Caenorhabditis elegans: one gene and its partner. The protein of the gene in region 2 purifies or fractionates together with the protein of the main gene of each other region. This does not show direct contact. Each region holds a gene or a part of one and is shown on either strand. Other genes may lie near its edges.

Evidence for each region.
Region 1: the proteins of col-90 (region 2) and C01G10.1 fractionate together in Caenorhabditis elegans (co-fractionation; one large-scale study listed by BioGRID). This does not show direct contact.

Annotation. Positions count from the first base shown.
Region 1 is NC_003283.11:15,094,935-15,106,454, reverse strand, and holds C01G10.1 (BRCT domain-containing protein), read right to left. Parts: upstream 6,709-11,520; 5' UTR 6,565-6,708; intron 6,520-6,564; 5' UTR 6,494-6,519; coding exon 6,433-6,493; intron 6,088-6,432; coding exon 4,455-6,087; intron 4,409-4,454; coding exon 4,288-4,408; intron 4,245-4,287; coding exon 3,830-4,244; intron 3,760-3,829; coding exon 3,389-3,759; intron 3,341-3,388; coding exon 3,226-3,340; intron 3,181-3,225; coding exon 2,956-3,180; intron 2,906-2,955; coding exon 2,805-2,905; intron 2,757-2,804; coding exon 2,441-2,756; intron 2,392-2,440; coding exon 2,252-2,391; intron 2,210-2,251; coding exon 2,066-2,209; 3' UTR 2,050-2,065; downstream 1-2,049. Other genes in the region: C01G10.14 (Major sperm protein), read left to right, coding at 549-647, 712-1,065; srx-78 (7TM GPCR serpentine receptor class x (Srx) domain-containing protein), read right to left, coding at 9,111-9,252, 9,601-9,675, 9,756-9,880, 9,926-10,074, 10,596-10,828, 11,111-11,274, 11,320-11,406.
Region 2 is NC_003281.10:7,944,410-7,952,523, forward strand, and holds col-90 (Putative cuticle collagen 90), read left to right. Parts: upstream 1-4,428; 5' UTR 4,429-4,480; coding exon 4,481-5,282; intron 5,283-5,382; coding exon 5,383-5,498; 3' UTR 5,499-5,659; downstream 5,660-8,114. Other genes in the region: Condensin-2 complex subunit kle-2, read left to right, coding at 1-112, 632-898; gsto-1 (Glutathione transferase omega-1), read right to left, coding at 1,186-1,445, 1,496-1,622, 2,161-2,380, 2,464-2,609; let-754 (Adenylate kinase), read right to left, coding at 5,848-5,868, 6,142-6,264, 6,338-6,586, 6,708-6,898, 7,019-7,190. UniProt on the Caenorhabditis elegans protein: Nematode cuticles are composed largely of collagen-like proteins. The cuticle functions both as an exoskeleton and as a barrier to protect the worm from its environment.

The DNA of each region.
Region 1 (11,520 bases), on a different chromosome or scaffold from region 2:
ACAATCTTCTGCTCAAGAGGCGAATGCGTTCACCACTCGACCACCGAAGCGATGTTTTCCCCCGTCCACCATTGTGGTGAGATTTCTGTTGGCGCCAGAGACAAAATCCACTGTTAACCATAGGAAATGCACTGATTTCAGTACTACATTTTCAGATGAAAATTTCCAAACTCAAAGAGGTCTTCCGCCGAAACAAATTACAGATTCTGAAAGCCTAAGATGCCAGCTATCGGATGACACGTTTACTTTTACCCGATCGCACCGTATAGTTAAAATACTCCCTAGTCAGTTTACAGTGGTCCTCAATATTTTCGACAATTGTAATAAGGTTTTTCGGAATAGTGAAAGGATATACACGTAAAGCATTAATATAAAAAAGGGTTTGCCAATTAAAAAATGTGGGAAATTCAATATTCACAAAATAAAGAATACGTGAACAATGCATGCAACTCCACGTTGAACCATTTAACCTTTCAAATTAAAAAATAGATGAAGCAAAACAGCAAGTGAATCAGTTCTCAGTTTTCAAAAACTACAACTTCGGAGTAATGGAAAAAGAGAAAAGTAAGACGGAGAGTTTGAAGAAGGACGAAATCGATGAGGCAAACTCAGAATCTTCAAAAGTGCCACTAACAATTGATCCAGAGGTAAGATATTTTTGCATTGCTTCCAAAATAGTAGCAAGGTAAAAAAAACAGCAGCAAATTTCAGGAAGCCAAACTCCCAAATGCCGGCGGAAAATCGGAGCATATGGTGGTCAACTTCACTTCAAAACGCATGGCGATCAAAGTGAGATGTGGCAATGCACTATTTCGTGTTGAGCCAACTCACATGATCATCGAGCCGAACAAGTGCCGCCAACTGACAATCAATCGGATGCCCGGACCAATTCAAAAGGATAAAGCGATCGTTCAATACCTCCAAATTGAAAATGATGTGCAAGATCCGAAGGCTGCGTTCAAAGCAGCGGACAGTGCTGGAACTAAGATTCCACACTTGAAGATCAAGCTGGTGGCCGGAGCAAGTGGAGGTCGTCAGATGTCGAGAGAGGTGGTGGATGAGTAGTTTGGGAAAAAAACAGGATATAATAGATCTCATTTTGATATTATAATAAATTGTTTGGTATAGATTTTAGGCGGCTACTTTTGTAAGGAACGCCATTAGCTTAATTGTGCACTTCTATCAGACATCGCTCGAGTTTTTCATATTAACACCATATTGCACTTTTTCATTAAGCTAGTATTCTATTGATTCCAGCAAACAATTTCCAACTCGACTGACTTGTTCATTCGTTGGAACAATGTCTTCTCCACAGTAAACATGGCATTTTGTGTCTCATTTCAATACTGTATCATGACTTTCTGCAGCTACCAATTGTATCACGATATGGAAGAGAAACTAAGCCTCTTATCGGGAGAAGTTCGAAAATTGCATCTCCAAATATTCAAAACTCTGTTGCTTCAGGTAGCTTCTATTTTTTAAAATCTGAAATTTAGTATGCCTACTGGAATATTTTTGGGTATATTCGCGCTTTATCCAGCATTAGACGCATGTATTCTGATGTACGTCATCACAGACTACAGAAGAGCCTTAAAAGGTATACTAGAACTGAAAATCTTGTTAAATGTTTTTTTTTCAGATGTTCTGAAGTTTTTCAATCCGATAAACAGGACAGCTGCTGACAACGTCTCTGTAGCTCCTCATCTTTCTACAAATAATTTTACAATCTGACAAATAACTCATGGAACCTAAGTTCTGAATTTGTATTTGGCTGCTTCAATTTGTTTTCTATTTTCTTGATTGCTCTTAATAAATCTTGAATAAATTCTCGTTTTCAAATAGATAGCAAAATTCAAGCAGAAAAAATTCTGAAAATAATATTTATGCATGTACAGTTACGATCTTCTCGTGGAGAAACTGTGTTCATGTTTTAATTTCCATAATGAGTGGACCACATAGCTAGAAAAAACTGGGCCTAAAGATGTGCCTGCAACAACTGCAGTAATATCAATAAACAACTGCAGTAATATCAATAAACAACTGCAGTAATATCAATAAAGAATCTTTATTTCTCATCTTTCAGAACACTAATCGGAGTTTCACTAATATCTTTGACAATATCTCGTTTGAGCATAAACTTTATGAATTCTTCTTCAGTGAACAGTGTGTACATCTTGTCCGGATCAGATTTGTAGACGCTCAAGTTTATCTGAAAAAAATTGTTTCACAGTTAAACGGTCAAAATACAAACCTTTCCATCGTGAATCAAAAACAAAGGTCCAAGATTTGCATGGTTGTATGGGTGAGATCCAACATTGAAGAGCTCCTTTCTTGGAAAAACTTCCATCATGACACCACCGTGGATTGCGACAAGTGAATTCAATTTCAGCACTGAAAAATTATAAAATGACCTTCAAAGGATTGAATCGAAATTGCTCACAATTCTTGCATTCCACCATGACAACCGCTGAGTATACTCCATACAAATATGGAATGGCTCCTTTTGCCATGGCTTCACTCCATTGAAGAACTGTATTGTAATATGATCCCTTGTATTTAACTTTTTCCACCAAATATTTTGAATCCTGTTCGATAACTGTCTCATTTTCCAAACAATCCACCATCCACTGTTCTTTGACAATAATCGCACCATTGAATACCCAAAGTAGTAGATCGAGACTATCAGTTTCCAGAGCTCCGTTCTCATCTGTCTTCACAATGACATGTGTAGTGTTTGAATTAGCTTCATCAGATGTCTGAAATATGATTTAAATAAGAAGTTTTTGGTGCAAAGAATAACTCACAATAGCTTGAAACTTCTCCATAAATTGGTTGGTTATGTTGATGTCGGTTCTTTCGTCTATCCAAATATGAAATGATGTGGTTGGAAACTTCTGTGGAACATCTCAAAATTTTCAATTTTATTTAGCTTATCACAAGACATTTGATGCTTACTCATTTTGTGCTTCTTCCCATTTGCTTTTTTGTACAATGCTCGAATCTTGTCAAAATTTTCAACCTTGTCCTTTGGAATGTCTTTATATACGAGTGGGATCATCTGCTCCGGAGTTCGATTCATCGTATTCAGCAGTTCCCGATCAGCTCCATTTTTAATGAGAAGCTTTACAATTTCAGGTAGAGCGGACTTGGTTGCAGTGTGCAGAGCGGTATTTCCGAACTCTGAATATAGCTTTTTCGTCTAAATTAGATCTTCTTGAATCTTACTGTTAAATGCATTTATGTAGGATCCTGCCTTTACAGCATTCACCGCATTTGTTTTGTTAATTTCCCGTACTGCATCCAACAAGGTGTTCTTTCCATCCTGATTGTCAAGGAAAAGCTGGAAAATGTTGATTCAAAAAATGTAGATTTAACATGAGAAGCTTACAGAATATCTCCACCTGTTCTCATAATGAACTGGTTTTCCAACATAATATAAATACAAATTTGTATACTTTGACCTTCCATTTTGAGTAAACCCGTAGGCAACAATACAAATGAGACCAATCAATATCATCACACCAATGCAAATAATAATGATGTATATCCAAGAAAGTTGATTATCAACCGCAATTGTAACGATATCAAGCTTCTTGTTGCCAAATATCTCATCAAAATAGGTCATCAAGGAAGAAATTGTGATTTCAGCTCCTTTGAGTATAGCCTCGTGCCGTGCGAAATCTAGATCCAAGTTTTTTATAGACTCGAAATACTTTGCAGCTTCTTGCTTCTCCAGCTTGCTAGACTTCTTCAATAATCCTGAAAGTTCAATGTTTTTTACTCGGTAAGAATTCTAAAAACTATTTTTTTTTCCATTTTAACTACTTACTGAATAGTCTATATAAATCCTTAGGATCTCCACGGATACCATTGATTTTTGAGGCATCATCGAACACTTTGACCATCTCTGATAAATTCCCATTTTTCCTCAACATCTTTGATTTTGCATCAAGAGCATCAATCTTTTGGAGCATTACTTGGAGTTTTTGCTCCGGATCCAGCCATTCACGGAGTCCCATTCCCGAAATTGTCTTCAAAACTTGTACAGGGAAATCTGGGTAATTCGAAAGAAGCTGGTGATTTTGTCGTGCTTCTTCAAGATCTTCTAACACGTGCGCACATGTTCCGAGACTCGCAGTAAAAAGTTCAGGGGTCTTCAATTTCAGAACAAGATTGTGACTGGAATTCGACTGAGATGTGATCAACTTGATTTGTTTTTCCACTTTCCAAAGTTGGTTCTTAACCTGAAATTTATAAATAAAAGCAATGAAGTTATTATTTACTAACCTTGGCTAGCTCATCGAGGTACTGGTTCATTTTCAGCACCGTCTTATTTCCAGCAAACTGTCGAACAGTAATCATTGCTTCAATTACCTCCAATACTCGAAGCGGTTGCATGAACTCTTGACTGCAATTTTTAAATATTTTTTGGGCATAGACATAATAATATTAACCTCAAACATTTCGATATTCCCCTCAATTGTGACGTGTCCAACATTTCGACAAGCAGTTTGTCTATTTTAGTGTCGTTTGGTAAAGATTTATTTGTGATCACTTTAATATTTTTTAAGTTTTGTGAAAGATGTGTCATGAAGTTGTGAAAATCAACCTCCCTTTTATCTATCTGATCAATGATGATTTTGAGACGAGTCTTCACCCTCAACGAATTGGTTTTGTTCACTTTTTGTTTTTCGATTTCATTGCTTAGCTTCTTGTAGTATTCGTCAAAAAACGATTTTATGGTGCGGTTGGGGCGTATGGTTAAGATTGAGTTTATATTGATATACGAGACCTGTTTTCTGATTTGGGCCAAATATTTCATATAATTTGTAGCTGGTGATATAGCTTGTTGAAAGTCTTGAATCATTTCCTGAAGGGAAGAGTTGGGTGTCTCCAAAGAAGTAACAGAAAAATTCGAAAAGCACTCCGATAATTTGTTACTCGCGTTTTGAATAATTGACTCATAATTTGCAAAGTTAAGGGACATTTTCGAAATAACGTCAAGAATAGGTCCTGCTTTTGCAACTTCTGAGGACTCAAAATCCAAGGTGAGAGCAGTGAAATTGTGCCAAGAAGTATCGAGTGAAGTGACGGCTTCCGAAATGTCATGGAATATCTTTAGTGCATGGTTCAGGTCCTTTGTTTTCGATTCTTTAGCAATATTTCTTCTGAACCAAGGGCTACTCAAATCCTTGGAGATTTTAGAGAAATCTCTTGAGCTTCTGAAGCCCGCACTGTATTTTAGAACTGGTTTTGTTGGCGCAATGTGATGTTTAATGATTTCAAACAGAGAACGGTTGAGTTGAGTCATAACCTGGGCATGGTAATTAGGATGTACACTCTTCCATAAAGATTTTGTCGCTTTCAGACTTGAAAGAACCCGGAAAAGCGTTGCATTTGTAGCTCGCAATGAGTCGCTTAATGCATCAAATTTTGCAACCAACCGTATAATATCTTCCCATTTTCTAATCATTTCAAGTCCACCCCATATCGGTAAAGCATCAAGCTCAGCCTGCAACTGTGGGAAATAGTTTAGGCAGTCGGAAAAATTTGGTTTGTTAGCGACAAATGTATCAGCGAAGCCCGGGAAATCATTTGTGGCGTATTCCGACAATTCGTTGTTGATAGAGTCCCAAAAACTTTTGAAATTATCCGTATCCACTTGTGAGCAACTACTCCTGAACATCGAGTTGTTTGCAATTATTGTCGTTAGATTGTTCATTAGGTTCTTGATAGGGTACTTGATGGCATCCAAGAAGGTAGACGTTTGTTGAGAAAAGAGTGATAGAAACTTCAAATTGTTTTTCAAATCGGTCATGTTATCACCAACCAGACTATTCGTATCATTTTGAAGCAATAGAGACAACTTCTCGAATTCTTCACCCATTCTATTCAACTCCGTACGTGCCACTTTGATGTCGACATCTATGATGTTGTTGAACTGGTCTCTTGGCATCCGAATCAGCTCTACCAGTAGATCACGAACTTTGATATTCTTCCTGATAGCACCTGCTTGGAGGGAAATCGCATTGGTCACACGAGATAGGATACGGAAGTCTTCGCTGATGAGTTGGAGATTTGACGGGGCTGAAAAATGGTTTCCGTTGTGGAAGAGATACATGTAGGCGAGTAGGCAGGCATGTAGGTGTGGGTAAAGACTGTGGAAAATTCAAAACTAACAGCCACGTGTGTTAATGACACTTTTCACTCATTATTCTGAATTTTCACGTAAGTTCTTCTACTTTTAGTATTTTATATTTCGTTTTTTTGCTACATGGATTTCGTATTTACATGTTGGCTTTTTTTCAAATTAAAGCAATGCAAGAAGACACTCTTAAGATAAAAATCGACTCTTTCAAAAATGAACAAAGTATTAGTTTATAAACCCTTAATAATAGTTTACGCGCGAGCTATTTCCCTCTTCCAACTCACCACTTCCGGCTGTAACTAGAAATGCTCCTAGAATTCCGATGCCAAAATAATAAGTAATCATAAGTCCACAATTGCAATACTTTTTATCTGAAATACTGCCGTTACAGCCTGAAAGTATGAAAAACGACTTACCGAAAGATGCTTATTTTTAAAGACTGTAGACAATGAATAGATTTTGCGAGAAGATATGGTCTTCCGCCTGAGCAATGATTGATTTGAGCAGATTTGATTATCAGATAAAAATGTTGAAACAAACGAATTGGAGGTTCACGTAATAAAAATAAATCGAAATTTGTTTTATGTTGTTCATGCATTTTTCTTTTTGTTTTTCAATAAACTTTTTGAATATAATAGTTTTCCTTTTTTGAAGGTTTTGGTTTTCATTGGTTTTTAATTATTAAAAATTAACGAAAATACAGAGTAAGGGAAATGTTGAAATCAATTACATGAATAGATTAATTGCTGGTTTTATGATCTTGTAGATGGTGGTGGTAGATTAGAAATAGCTCTTCTGTCATCACACTTCACAGCAATAGACTCCAATGGGCTCACTTTCCGGAGAACTTTATTTTTCATTGGGGACAGTCGATTGTTGAACATCATCATAATGAATCTAAATTCATATTCATTACTAACTCGAATTTCAGCTACATGTGAAAATTTTTTGGAACCTGTAGCGGCTCAGATTCTGTAGAACAATTTTTGAAAAATACCTAACAGACCCATAAAATGCCAGCCGCGTCAACATTTTCCATATGTTGATTTAAAAAAATACAGTGAATGTGTACGAAAATTTGAAAACCCACGGCTCGCAGGTAATGTAAACGCTTGAAAGCTTGACTTTTTGCTTGACGCCTTAAAAATGTTTCAAAAAAAAAAGTTTTACATATATAATAGTTCGGAAAAACTACTTTAAAAAATGTTCTTGAAAGCTTGAAAAGCTTGAAAATCTGATCTTGTGCCCGATTTACACTGCTGATCGTAATACATTGTGCCCGATCTACGAATTAACTGTGTCTGAATCCACTCACCCATCAAGAACATGAACGAATTGCAACACAAATGTTTGGCAGAAGAATGTCCAGATTCTATGATCAAAAAGGTTACTGGAATTGAAGTTATATTTTGAGTTGAAGCTGAAATTGTTCCAGTGACTTACTCGAGCTGAGAAAACAAGACCGTGATTGAAAACAACGAGTCTTGAAGAAAACAAACGAGTCTGAAGAAACTGTAACACATTTTTCCGTGCTTTTCTCCGGTGTTGAGATCCGCGGATTGTCTTTTTCTTCTGAAACATAGAGCCAAATTTGTTTTATAGTTCTAAGAAAATATTCTAAAAACATTCCCTACCATATAATGAAACAGAATGTATGTGACTGCGTTTATTGAAAGTGGGAAAACAATTAAAGCAACAGCCCATAATTGCATATGCTCAGGTGTAGACAAAAGCCCGATATACGCCAAATGCTCATTGGAAAAAAGCATAAAATTTGAATTTTCTGAAATTACAAAAAAATGGTTTTAAACGTAACCATGAAATCAGTACCACTTCTACTCAAGTGTTCCGTAGCCACATTCCAGATGCGGTTTATATAATAAAGAATATGCAATACCAATGTCAGTTTCAAACCCCATAGCCAACTAAATTTTAAAGGAAATAGCATAACGAAAAATCGATTGAAGGATAAGTAGACACTTTGAAATTCGTTGAAAACTAGCATATTCGTACCAAACGTCACAAGAATGCTTTCAACAGCTGGAGAGTAAAATGAGTACCCACTGAAAACAGAAGAAGAAAAAATTAAAACATGAGCAATAAAATCCAATATGATGCCTAATAAGAATGTCTTCCCAATAAAATATCTTCCTGAGAAATTTCGTTTTAATTTAAGAATTCATTTCTGAAAGTTAGAAAAGATGCTTATGATATATGTACCTCTGAAGTTAATTTTGAAAGCCTTCATTTTTATGTTTTTTTTTCCAAATTTTAAATAAAACGTCAAAAAACGTTTGCCTCTTTTTCGAATCATACTCTAAACCCCTAAAAAAACTTACATTAAGCTCTCTGGAACGTACACTCCGAGCATAACCACCAATAAAACATATACGTTATTCGATGCTCGGAAAGCACAAATCATATTGAACACAGTTCGCTCTTTCTTGCAAGTCACAAAATTTTGAATAATGGAAATGTTCAACGGTAGTCCAATTAACGAGTTCTTGAATTTTCATTCATTTTCAATAGAAATTATTTCAAACTTTTACCAGCAACATAAGTACCACAGCCAGGAAATTCGGCCAACTTTTGAAATTGTAGTTGGAGACATCGTTGGTAACTGTCGAGTTCATTGTACGTGTTTCAATAGCAAAAAAACACTAAATTAAGGATCTCGAGATCGAAAAGTCTAATTTTTTTTTAAATAATTGTGTTGACTTGTTTTCGAAAAAAAAGTGATGGTTTACGCATCACCTGATTTCAACTAATCAGTTTCCTAGGATACGATTCCCGATGGGATAGTCAGGAATATAATCTGTCTGAAAACTTTTTTAAAAGCTCATGAATCATATGGTGAGACTTATAATGTTTAATTAATGGAGTATACATTTAAGATGAATACCACTCTTCAAATTATCAAAAATTTTTAGATGGATATTTAAAACATTTCAAAATGTAAAAATTATGATATTGGAGTAGGCGGTGACCAGGTACGAGTTGGCAAAACCTTTCGAGTATCAAATTTTGTAATTGTCTCGATTATATTAATTTTCAGTCTTCTTTTCATTGGGGACAAGCGAGCATTGAACATCATCATGATGAATCTGAAAGCTCGCCGTTTTTTTTAAACAATTATTTGAAACTCTTGTTAGATAGCGAAAATCAGTTTTTTTTCGTCAAATACCGAATTTTCTCCATTAATTTCGCATTCAAGATATAAATGAAAAATTTTAGTTTTTTGATTTTCCAATTTTTCAGTTTTTTAGGTTTTGAATGTTCTGTTTCACTGAAAAGCCAGAAATCAAAAAAAAATGTTGAATATGATCGTAACATAATTTTCAAATCCCATATCAAAAAAAATATGTTTGGGATTTTTTTACATACTTTTTGGAAATCGAAAATATTTGTATTTCTGATTTTCAATTTTCCAGCTTTCCAAAAATATGACCTACCCATCAAGAACATGAATAAATTGCCACACAAATGTAAAGCAGAAGAACGTCCAGAATCGGTGTGCAATAATTGTACTGAATATGAAATTTGAACTGAATATATTCAGAGGCATAGTTTTTCACAAACATAAAATTCCCAAAAATTGAAAACTCACTTCAACTTCAAGCCAAAAGTACTACTTATGAAAAACAATGAGTCTTGAAAAACAGTTTGAAAAAACTGTGCTACATTTTCCCTTGCTTTTCTCCGGTGTTGAGACTCCCGACTTGTCCGCTTTTTCTGAAGCACTAAATAATTTTTAATTCATATTTTACAACTTCCCACCAAATAATAAAAACGAATATATGTTACTGCATTGATAAAAAGTGGAAAGATGATTGACAACACAGACCACTCAAAAAAATAGTCAGGTGCTGCCAACGTGCCACCGTAAGCCAAGTGTTCGGCAGAAAATGATATATGGTTTGAGTTTTCTGAAATCAGATTTTGAAAGTATACAATTCAACTTACCGTATTTCCTCTATTAGTAAGGCATGCAAAACTAATTTTCGGACACCGAGTTTGATGCAAAACTAATGGAGGTGCAAAACTAATTTTCGAACCGGTTTTTTCTCATGTATTCCAGTAAGTTATGGCATAATATCATCAACTTCAATAACAACTTATGAACCAAAATGAACGAATTTTACAACTCAAACGCAAAAATTGTCCGAGTTGTACTCATATTTTGTCAATTTTCACTTGTTATACCAAGTCTGTAAGAGTTTTCCTAATTTTTAGAACGATTTTATTATGCAAATTTTGAATTCCTAAAAAATAGGGAACAAATGAAGGGGTGCAAAACTATTAGAGGTGCCAAACTAATAGAGGCTGCAAAACTAATTTTTGATTAGTGATTTTAGATGCAAAACTAATGGAGGTGCAAAACTAATAGAGGCGCCTAACTAATAGAGGAAATACGGTAATTTCTTTTTTGAAAAAATCATATTTGTACCGATTCTGTCAAGATGTTCAGTGATAACATTCCAGAAACGATTCCCATAACATAAAATATGTAATAGCAATGTAAATTTTATACTCAATAGCCAGTTAAATCGCAATGGAAATAACATTGCGAAAAATCGGTTTATTGAAAGATAGACACTTTGAAATTCGTTATAAACCAATAAATTCATTCCAAATATTATAATAATGCTTTCAACAGAGCGAGGATAAATTGAGAACCCTCTGTAATTAGGCATTTTTGATAATGTTTTAATTGTGTCATTAAATATACATTGGTCGCAAAAAAATATATAGTGGTAATCAATAGTACATATGTATATACATTTTTGGTTTTGGCAAAAAAGTATAACTCAAAAACTAAATACTTTTGAGAAAGACGTTTAACTTTATGAAAAAAAATTACTGTTACATAGAGCAAATAATTGTCTATTTTGTTTATTTTTAATGAACTTTTCAATAATTTTCGGGGATCATTTTTTAAATGTGATCTTTTTGCAATCTCACATCAAACTCTCCGGAACATAAACTCCAATCATAACTACAAGTAGAACATATACGTTGTTTGCTGCTCGGATAGCACAAATCATATTGAACGCAGTTCGCTGCTTCTTGCAAACCACAAAATTGCAAATAATTGATGAATTTAGAGGAAGCCCAATGAATGAGTTCTTAAAACTTAGATGTCAGCGTTAGTTATGTAATATCTAAATTACCATAAACATGAGAGCTGCGGCCAAAGAGTTTGGCCAGTTTTCAAAATTGTAGGTAGCCGTTGAGTTGCTAGATAAATTTACCTCCATTTTAAGACTACTGAATGAATAAAAAGCTTTGTATTGTCTAAAGGTTCTGTTATTTAATAAAATCTGTTAGAAAATTGAGTAAAATAAAACATGAAGTCGGTCGTTTTGCTATAT
Region 2 (8,114 bases):
AGCATATGAAGATGTGGATGTTGCCGTGTCAACTCTACAAGAACATGTTGACAAATGGCATTCTCGAATGGAACCAATCCTCGAAGAAGGAGAAACTCGAAAAGAGTATGATGTATGTTTTAGAGTATTTAATCTTAAAGGTGGAGTAGTGCCAGTGGGGATTTTGTCTAAATACACTTATAGTGATTCAAAACAACCGAATATCATAATAAAACACTCCAAAAAGTTTTAGATTTTTCATAATTTCCGGTCAAAGTTTTGGCAAATTGCCAAAATTTTGAAAAATATGAGCTTTTGAGGTTATTTAAAGAAATGTCGTATGTTTCGACCCCTACAATGTTTTAATACAATTAATTTAAACAAAATTAAAACAATAAAAAATGTAATAAATTTTTTTGGTCGACTTCCAAACATATGAGTGGCAAAAACTGAGTAATTGCCAGTTTTTGACAGTAAATAAAAAAATTTTCAAAAGTTTTATCATGATATTTGGTCATTTTGGAACCAAAGGAGTGGTTTTTAACAATTTCCCCACTGGCGCTACTCCACCTTTAATATTCTGGTCAACCACAGTAATTTGAAAAGTCAAAATGTCTAAATGTTTGAATTTCTCAATTATAATAATTTTCAGGTTCACGCAGTTGGTCGTGCTGTCATTGGCCAATACGATATTGAAGGTGGCACGAAACGTTTACTAGATTTGGTTATGGATCGTCCATGGTACGAAATCAGTCGATACTTCCTTTCGTGCCTCTTTATGTGTAATGTCGGAAATGTCATGGTCAGCGAGGACATGGAACTGCCACTCGAGGAAAGAATCAACTCGATGAAAATCACACTACTCAAAAGAGATATGCATTGTGAAATGTTCAAGGAGGCTGGCGCTCTTGATGCCTAATTTATAATTATTGTTTTTTTTGCATTAAATCTCCCGAAAACCATCTTAATTTATTTAAACATTCCTCATTGTCTCTACTTGTATCTCGATTTCTGGCTATACTTTCATTTTACTGTATCAATTAATTAACTTCTAGATGCCAAGTATTTTTCTTCTGTTCGTTATGGTACTTTACTGACTGTACAATAACTTTTTTTCCGACGAATTACCACTATTTCTTTGATTGTTTTTTAATTACGTCCTTCATTTTTTATTCAATCTTAAAAATAAATCGACTGGTTTTAATATCAAAGGCCCAAATCATAATTCAATTCCTGGTGCGTGGCATATGCGTTCATGAATGCAGCGCCATGTTCCAAAGATTGGGTGACGGATTGAACAACATCTGAAGAAATCATTTTCTGGAACCATTTTGTCAATTTAGGATATTCTTCTTCTCCTGGGAATTCAATTGTTGGTAAATCGACAACTCCATCCAAACTAGCTGACCACCAAATTTTCTCAAAAAATGGAAATGATAAGTAGTCTGGATAACCTGGTTGAGATCCTGAATAGTTTGAATTTGGTCAAAAAATTGTATCGATTAATTGAACTCACCAGCATAAAAATCATTGGCCAAGAGATTTTCAGCTTGTTTCAAAACTTCAAAAACTTTTCGCTGCTTTTCATCTTTCAAAGTTCGGTCTCGCATGACGGCGAAGAGCAATGGAACTGCATGGGCTACCTGAATTGCTTATTTAAAACAAAATAGTTTAGAAAATAGAAAAATTCAAGATCATATTTGAATTTCCTCCAAAATGAATAGCCACGCCCACTCTCAAACCAATCAGAGTTTTGGACTCCAAACACTCATCTGATTGGTTGAAAAATGGGCGGAGCGAATAACTGATTTTTTATATTAGAGGAAGTTCAAAAAGGGGATTAGAAACTATGTATGTTTCCTTCCATTTTTAAAGGTATTGGTATCGCTGCGCCTTCAAAACAACTGTAGAGACGTGCAGATCTTTTTTTTTATTTTAAAAGTTTTAGTTAAAGTTCTGGTAAATTGGCAAATTTCGAATAATGTGCTTTTAGTAATTTCGAGCATTTCGGAAAGTGAAATTTAGAACTCGTATAAAACAATCATTTTTTGGACGACTTCCAAAATTAGGATAGAAGGAAACTAATGGTAAATAATTGCCATTGCATTAGTCTTAAACCATGTTTATTGTTTTTATATATAACACTTTTTATTTCTTTTGAAAAACAAAATAAAACCAAACCGCAGTTAACCTGTCCGCTAGCAGCTTTTGTTGCACCTTTTCGTACGGGTCAGTTGGAAGAATACGAGTTTCTGGAAATGCATCATCCAAATATTCAGGAATAAATCCAGACTCAATGACCACTTTTCCATTGTGCTCTACTGCTGGAGCCTTTCCCTGATAATGTTTTGTCCAGTACCATTCAAGTTTGTCAGTTACGTTGAGATTGACTACCTCCGCTCTGAAAATTCAATGGTTTTTTTCTTAAAAAAGTACTTTTCATATGTCTATTTTAGAAACTAATAAAATAAATAAACTACTCACTCAATTCCTTTAGCTGCAACATAAAGCATTGCTCTTTCAGCCCATGGACAGAATCTCATGTTGTAGACACGAAAAGATCCCTTTGATAGCGGAGGTTCCGCATCTCCTTTTCGAATTGCTTTTGATGTTACTCCGGTTAAAACCATCTATAAACATCTACATTTTGAATTTTTCTACAGAAAAATACATTTGGACAGTACAGAACAAATTTCAAGCCAAAAATATATTTTCTACTAGGAAGGGTAATTTGTGTAGAAGGTAGACATTAGAATGGTTATAAATGTATAATTTTAATACTCCAATATTTGAATTCAAACAGCAGTGATCGTGCGGAATAAAAATTGAATAACTAACTGGAAAATGTTGAAAAGCTGAAAAATTGATAAGAAAGAAAATATAGAAAACTGATAAGAATTACAAGAAGTGAAAAATGATCTGATGCAACAAGTAAACACATCAAATTAGGAGTGGAACCGCTATAAAAAAAGTTATAAGAGATCTGGAAATTAGATCATTTATGTCACTTTCAGTCTTTTAAATAGCGGAGCAGCGCCAGTTTTGTATTAGAAAACACTTATAATGGTCCGAAAATGACCTAAATAAATGACCAAATATTGATTTCCAACGTTTTCAGACAACTTTTTAGCAAAGTGCCAAAAAAACATGTGTTCGGTTTCCAAACTTATGTAGTTATCGCAGACTATAATATCACCTTCCAAACAAATGAACATTCCTCAAAACTTGATTTTAGCCCTTTTATCCTACCGAACAATGTGATATATCTGTTATCGAAAGATGAATAAATGAGATATTAAAATTAATCAAAATGTTCGAGTAGAGCTTTTTTAAATCCCAATGCAATATCAATATAAGTTGTGTACTTTAGAAAAAATCAGAATTTTTCGATCTTCGATGCTTTTCCCATTCCAACGTTCAGAGTGTCTTGACGTGACGACCAAGAAGAAGAGAAAGAAAAAAACTCGTTTTTCGCACTTTCTCCTCACTTTTTCAATGTTCAAAAAAGGATAAGGCTACGTAGACAAACTATGAATGGTTTGTGAAAATTATGGAATTTAAGTTAACTTTGGTAGAAGCTCGGTTTGATGGAAAACAAGTTTATATTGGGCTCACTGTTTTTTTAAACAGAAAATGGTTATTTGAAAAAGAATTTTCAAAAGATTATTATTTAACTCATACAAAAAACATTACAAGTAATTAAAGATAATTTCAAAATAAGTTATAATATACAAAACTCACATACAAACAACTGAGTAGGAGAGTCTACATATGAATTTCATATAATTTCATTACTCTGTTCAAATGCATCCTAACTTCATTCAAGTTCCTGAAACATTTTTTAACTGCAAAAGTATCCCATGCTTGCAGGTTTTTTTGGCTCTGGAAACATGCTGAATATTGCTGTTTTAATCGATTTTCAGAAAAAACACGCAAGTTTTAATATTTTGGAATTTTTAAGCTTATGAATTCTCCAGTTTCCACTTACAGGAAGATCAACAAACATCATTTCTCTTTTAAACTTTTTCACTTACATCGAAAATATAAGTTTAACTTCCAGGAAGATAATTCTTGTATTTATGATATTTGTGTATTTCCATGGGGTACTGTAATTGTATAGCACTAAATATTAAATTTCAATTTTTTTAATCTAGAACAAGTTCGTTTCGAAATAAAATCATTTTTCCTGAAATATGAAAATACATTCTAATTCAGAATAATCAGAATAAATCAAATAAATAATTATTCCATATTCCACCACTAATCATCAGTCATATCCATTAATCAACTTCCTTCATCATCATTCCATCCAACTGACGAACAACACAACAATTCGAATTTTTTTTCGGTTTTTTCTTCGATCGGATCAAGTTTTTCGGCGAGTTTTTGCCGCCGCCAAAGGGCGTTTACGAGAGAATGAGTATAAAAAGGATATGTGAGGGTAATTGCATTTATCTGAATTTGAATTCCATTTGGAATCAGCGAATTCTGATTCAAAATCATGTCGACTATTGGTTATATTGGTGCTTCAATTTGTCTTCTTGGAGTTCTTTCATCTCTTTTCTCAATTAGTCATATTGTTAGAGATATTAATTCTCTGCGTGATGAAGTTGAAGGACGTGTTGATGAATTCAAAGTATTAGCTGATGACACGTGGCAACGTCTTCTTGTTCTTCAATCCCCAACTGGAGAAACTGAAAATGTGATGCCATCGATCTTCCGTTCAAAGAGATTCGTCTATCCAGGAATGTGCAATTGTGACAGTAACTCTCAAGGATGCCCAGCTGGACCACCAGGACCACCAGGACTTCCAGGAAAGCGTGGAGATGAAGGAGTTGTTGGAGATCTTGGACGTTCTGGAGCATCTGGAATCTCACTTGCAGCTGTTCATCACATTCCAGGAGGATGCATCAACTGCCCAGCCGGACCAGCTGGACCACCAGGACAACAAGGACCAGTTGGACCACAAGGATTCCCAGGAGTTGTTGGAACATGTGGACCATCGGGAGATGATGGACAACCAGGACCAGCTGGACCACTTGGAGATAAGGGAGCCCAAGGACCAAAAGGATTCGATGGAGCCGATGGACCAGATGGCATGCCAGGAACTGCATACTTCCCAGGAGCTGTTGGACAACCAGGAGAGCCAGGATGGTTGGGACAACCAGGACTTCCAGGAAAACACGGAGAACCAGGACAAGATGGAGAAGAAGGACCAAAGGGAGCACCAGGAACACCAGGATCAAATGGAAGAGATGCTTATCCAGGACAACCAGGAAAGGCTGGAGAGCCAGGAGCTGTTGGTTAGTTATTTTTTATAATCTGAAGAAAATTAATTATTTCAAAAGCTCAATTCTATTTCTAGAAACCAATAAGATCTACTGAAATTTTATATTTTTTCAGGAAAAGACGCCAACTATTGCCCATGCCCGGCTCGTCGCGACTCAAAGACCGAAAGTGTTCACGAGCCACCAGCAGCTTCCCAAAATGGAGGTTACAGAAAGGCCAAGAGACACTAAACGAAGCCACAGTAAATTATTATCTTTTTTATTATCCTGTTTTTCATTCAAAACTTTTAAGAAAATTAAATTCGAAAGAAATTCATTTAAAAAACTTTTTGGTATAGGAATGACGTGGGATTTAGCTAACATTGAACAATTGAAATAAAACACTGGGAAGGAAAATAGGCAATTACGATGAGGAAAACACAGGAAACGGTGGGAAAACACGTCTAAAAGAACTACTGAAAAGTGAAATTTAGAAAAAAAAACAATGAAATGTGACAGTAACTGAGAAAATGTTTAAATACTAAGAGAAAATTGTGACTATTTCATTGGATTCCTATCATTGGGAGCATTTAATGAGCCATTAGACGAATGAGACGCGTTCCTGAAAATTTTCTGGTGTTTTTAAAACTTTTGGAATAATGAATCACATACTCGGCATTTAGTGCCCCTTTTCTCCCACCTTTTTGCCGGAAGGAAACAAATGGCGATAGCTAGGAGGCAAAAAGGTGGGAGGAAGGTGGCAAAAGGATGGACGGAAAGTGGGAAGCCCAAAAAAACAGCGGATCTAAATTCCGAGTAGTGTAAAGAAACGCCTATGATCATATTCCAATTTTCTTCATTTCTAAGATCTTCAATAAATAGTTCAATTCTGTACCTTCTTCTGGGTAAATTTGGCGAAGACTTGATCAATATGAGCCTTCACGTCAGTCATTGGCTTTGCGGCATCAACGGCCACATGAACTCCGTGTTTTTTGTAATAGTCGACGAGAGGAACGGTCTGAAAAGTATTGGTTATATTCGTTCTCTTGGATCAATTTGAAAATACAATTCAAAATGCAACAACTACATACCATTTGGTGATATTGTACAAGTCTCTTTCTAAGAGTCTCCTCGTTATCATCAGAACGGCGAATCAGTGGCTCTCCAGTGAGATCGTCCTTCATTGGAACCTTTGGTGGCTTGAATTCCAAATGGTAGCTTCTTCCGGAAGCAATATGGAACAGACGACCAGTGATACGGCGAACAAGCAAATCATCGGCAATGTTGAACTCGACGACAGTATCCAAAGGTGTCTTCCGACGTTCGAGGATCTCATCAAGCTGAAATAATGCATTTTAGATTTTATAGGCAAATATTTTCAAGAGAACTCATCTAACTTTCATAGAAAATATTAATAAGAATGAGACACGTTGTCTTCTTTAATAAATTAATTTTACCCACCTTCTCCGCTTGTCCACTGGTGCGAGGGAAACCATCCAAAATGAATCCGTACTTGCATTCCGGTTTCTCCAGCTTTTGCTCGATAAGTTTGCAGACCACCTCGTCACTGACTAACTTTCCAGCATCCATTGTTGCTTTCAGCTCCTTTCCAAACTCGGAGCCAGAGGCAACTTCAGCACGGAGCAGATCTCCTAAAATTTTGAAAAATTCATCAAATATCTATTTTGTAAGAAAAAACTCATTAGTCTGGAGTTATTTCTACGAAAAACATTTTTTTTCCGAATAAAAAATTCCTTGACTTGAAAACCTACCAGTTGCCAAATGACACGAGAAATATTTCTGAGCGAAAGCGGGAGCTTGAGTTCCTTTGCCGGATCCTGGTGGCCCAATGAAGATGGCACGAATTCCACGAGCCAAAGTTTCCGTAGGCCCCGCTGATTGAGTAGCTGGCTGAGCACTTTGTTGTGTTTTCGGGACTCCCATAGCTGAAATTATCAAATTAAATTATTTGGAAAAAAACTATTAGAGCCGTGATTGCTTGAAGAGCTTGTAAAAAGCAAAAATCGATAATATGCGAACAATGCAATACCAGTTTAGAATTAATTTTAATTTCAATTTCAAACCATTTTTCAACTAAACAATAATTGATTTTGCTGAAAACTCAGATTTTTTTTAAAATTAATGATAATCGTAGATGTTGTTAATATTGAAATAAAAACCATCAAACTAACGAACTCTTTGGTGTATTCAAAGAACAATCGGTCTTGCGAGTGAACGAGACGGCAATTTCGAGCGAAATGAGTGAAAACTTCGATAGAAATTGATAAACGAGAGAGGTTAACACGCAAGGAAAAAATCAAAAGGAAATGTGATTATTTTTCAAGAAAAAATGGGGCGACGTTAACGTAAAATTGTAGTTATGGAAAATTAAGTCGAGCGGCAGTAATTCAAGTTATTCAAAACCGGGCTTAACATTGTAAATCCGGAAGAAAAAAAAGGACTTTCTAGCGTCTGAAATAGATTATCAACTACATTTATCGTAAAAACGGCTTTCTTATCACTTATTGATGAAAAATAACTGGAGAAATGCAAGGAAAATTAATTTAAAATGGATAAAACTCAAAAGCCTTGGGGCGCAGGTCCCGCCACGATCGTGTTGGCAAAGCTGTGAACTCCTCTCGGAAAATCCATAAAACTAGCGCGAATTCAAAAAAAGACGCTCACGAGGTTGTGAACTCAAATGTTACAAATGTAATTTAAGATTTAGAACGAAACAGGCTTAAATAAGAAGAATTCAATGAAAATTACATGCTTAATTTGTTTAATAAAAATTCAAGCTTTTAAGCATGATACGATACCCCAATTTGCGATTTTAGAGCTTATCCTAAATGCAGAACATTTCAGTAT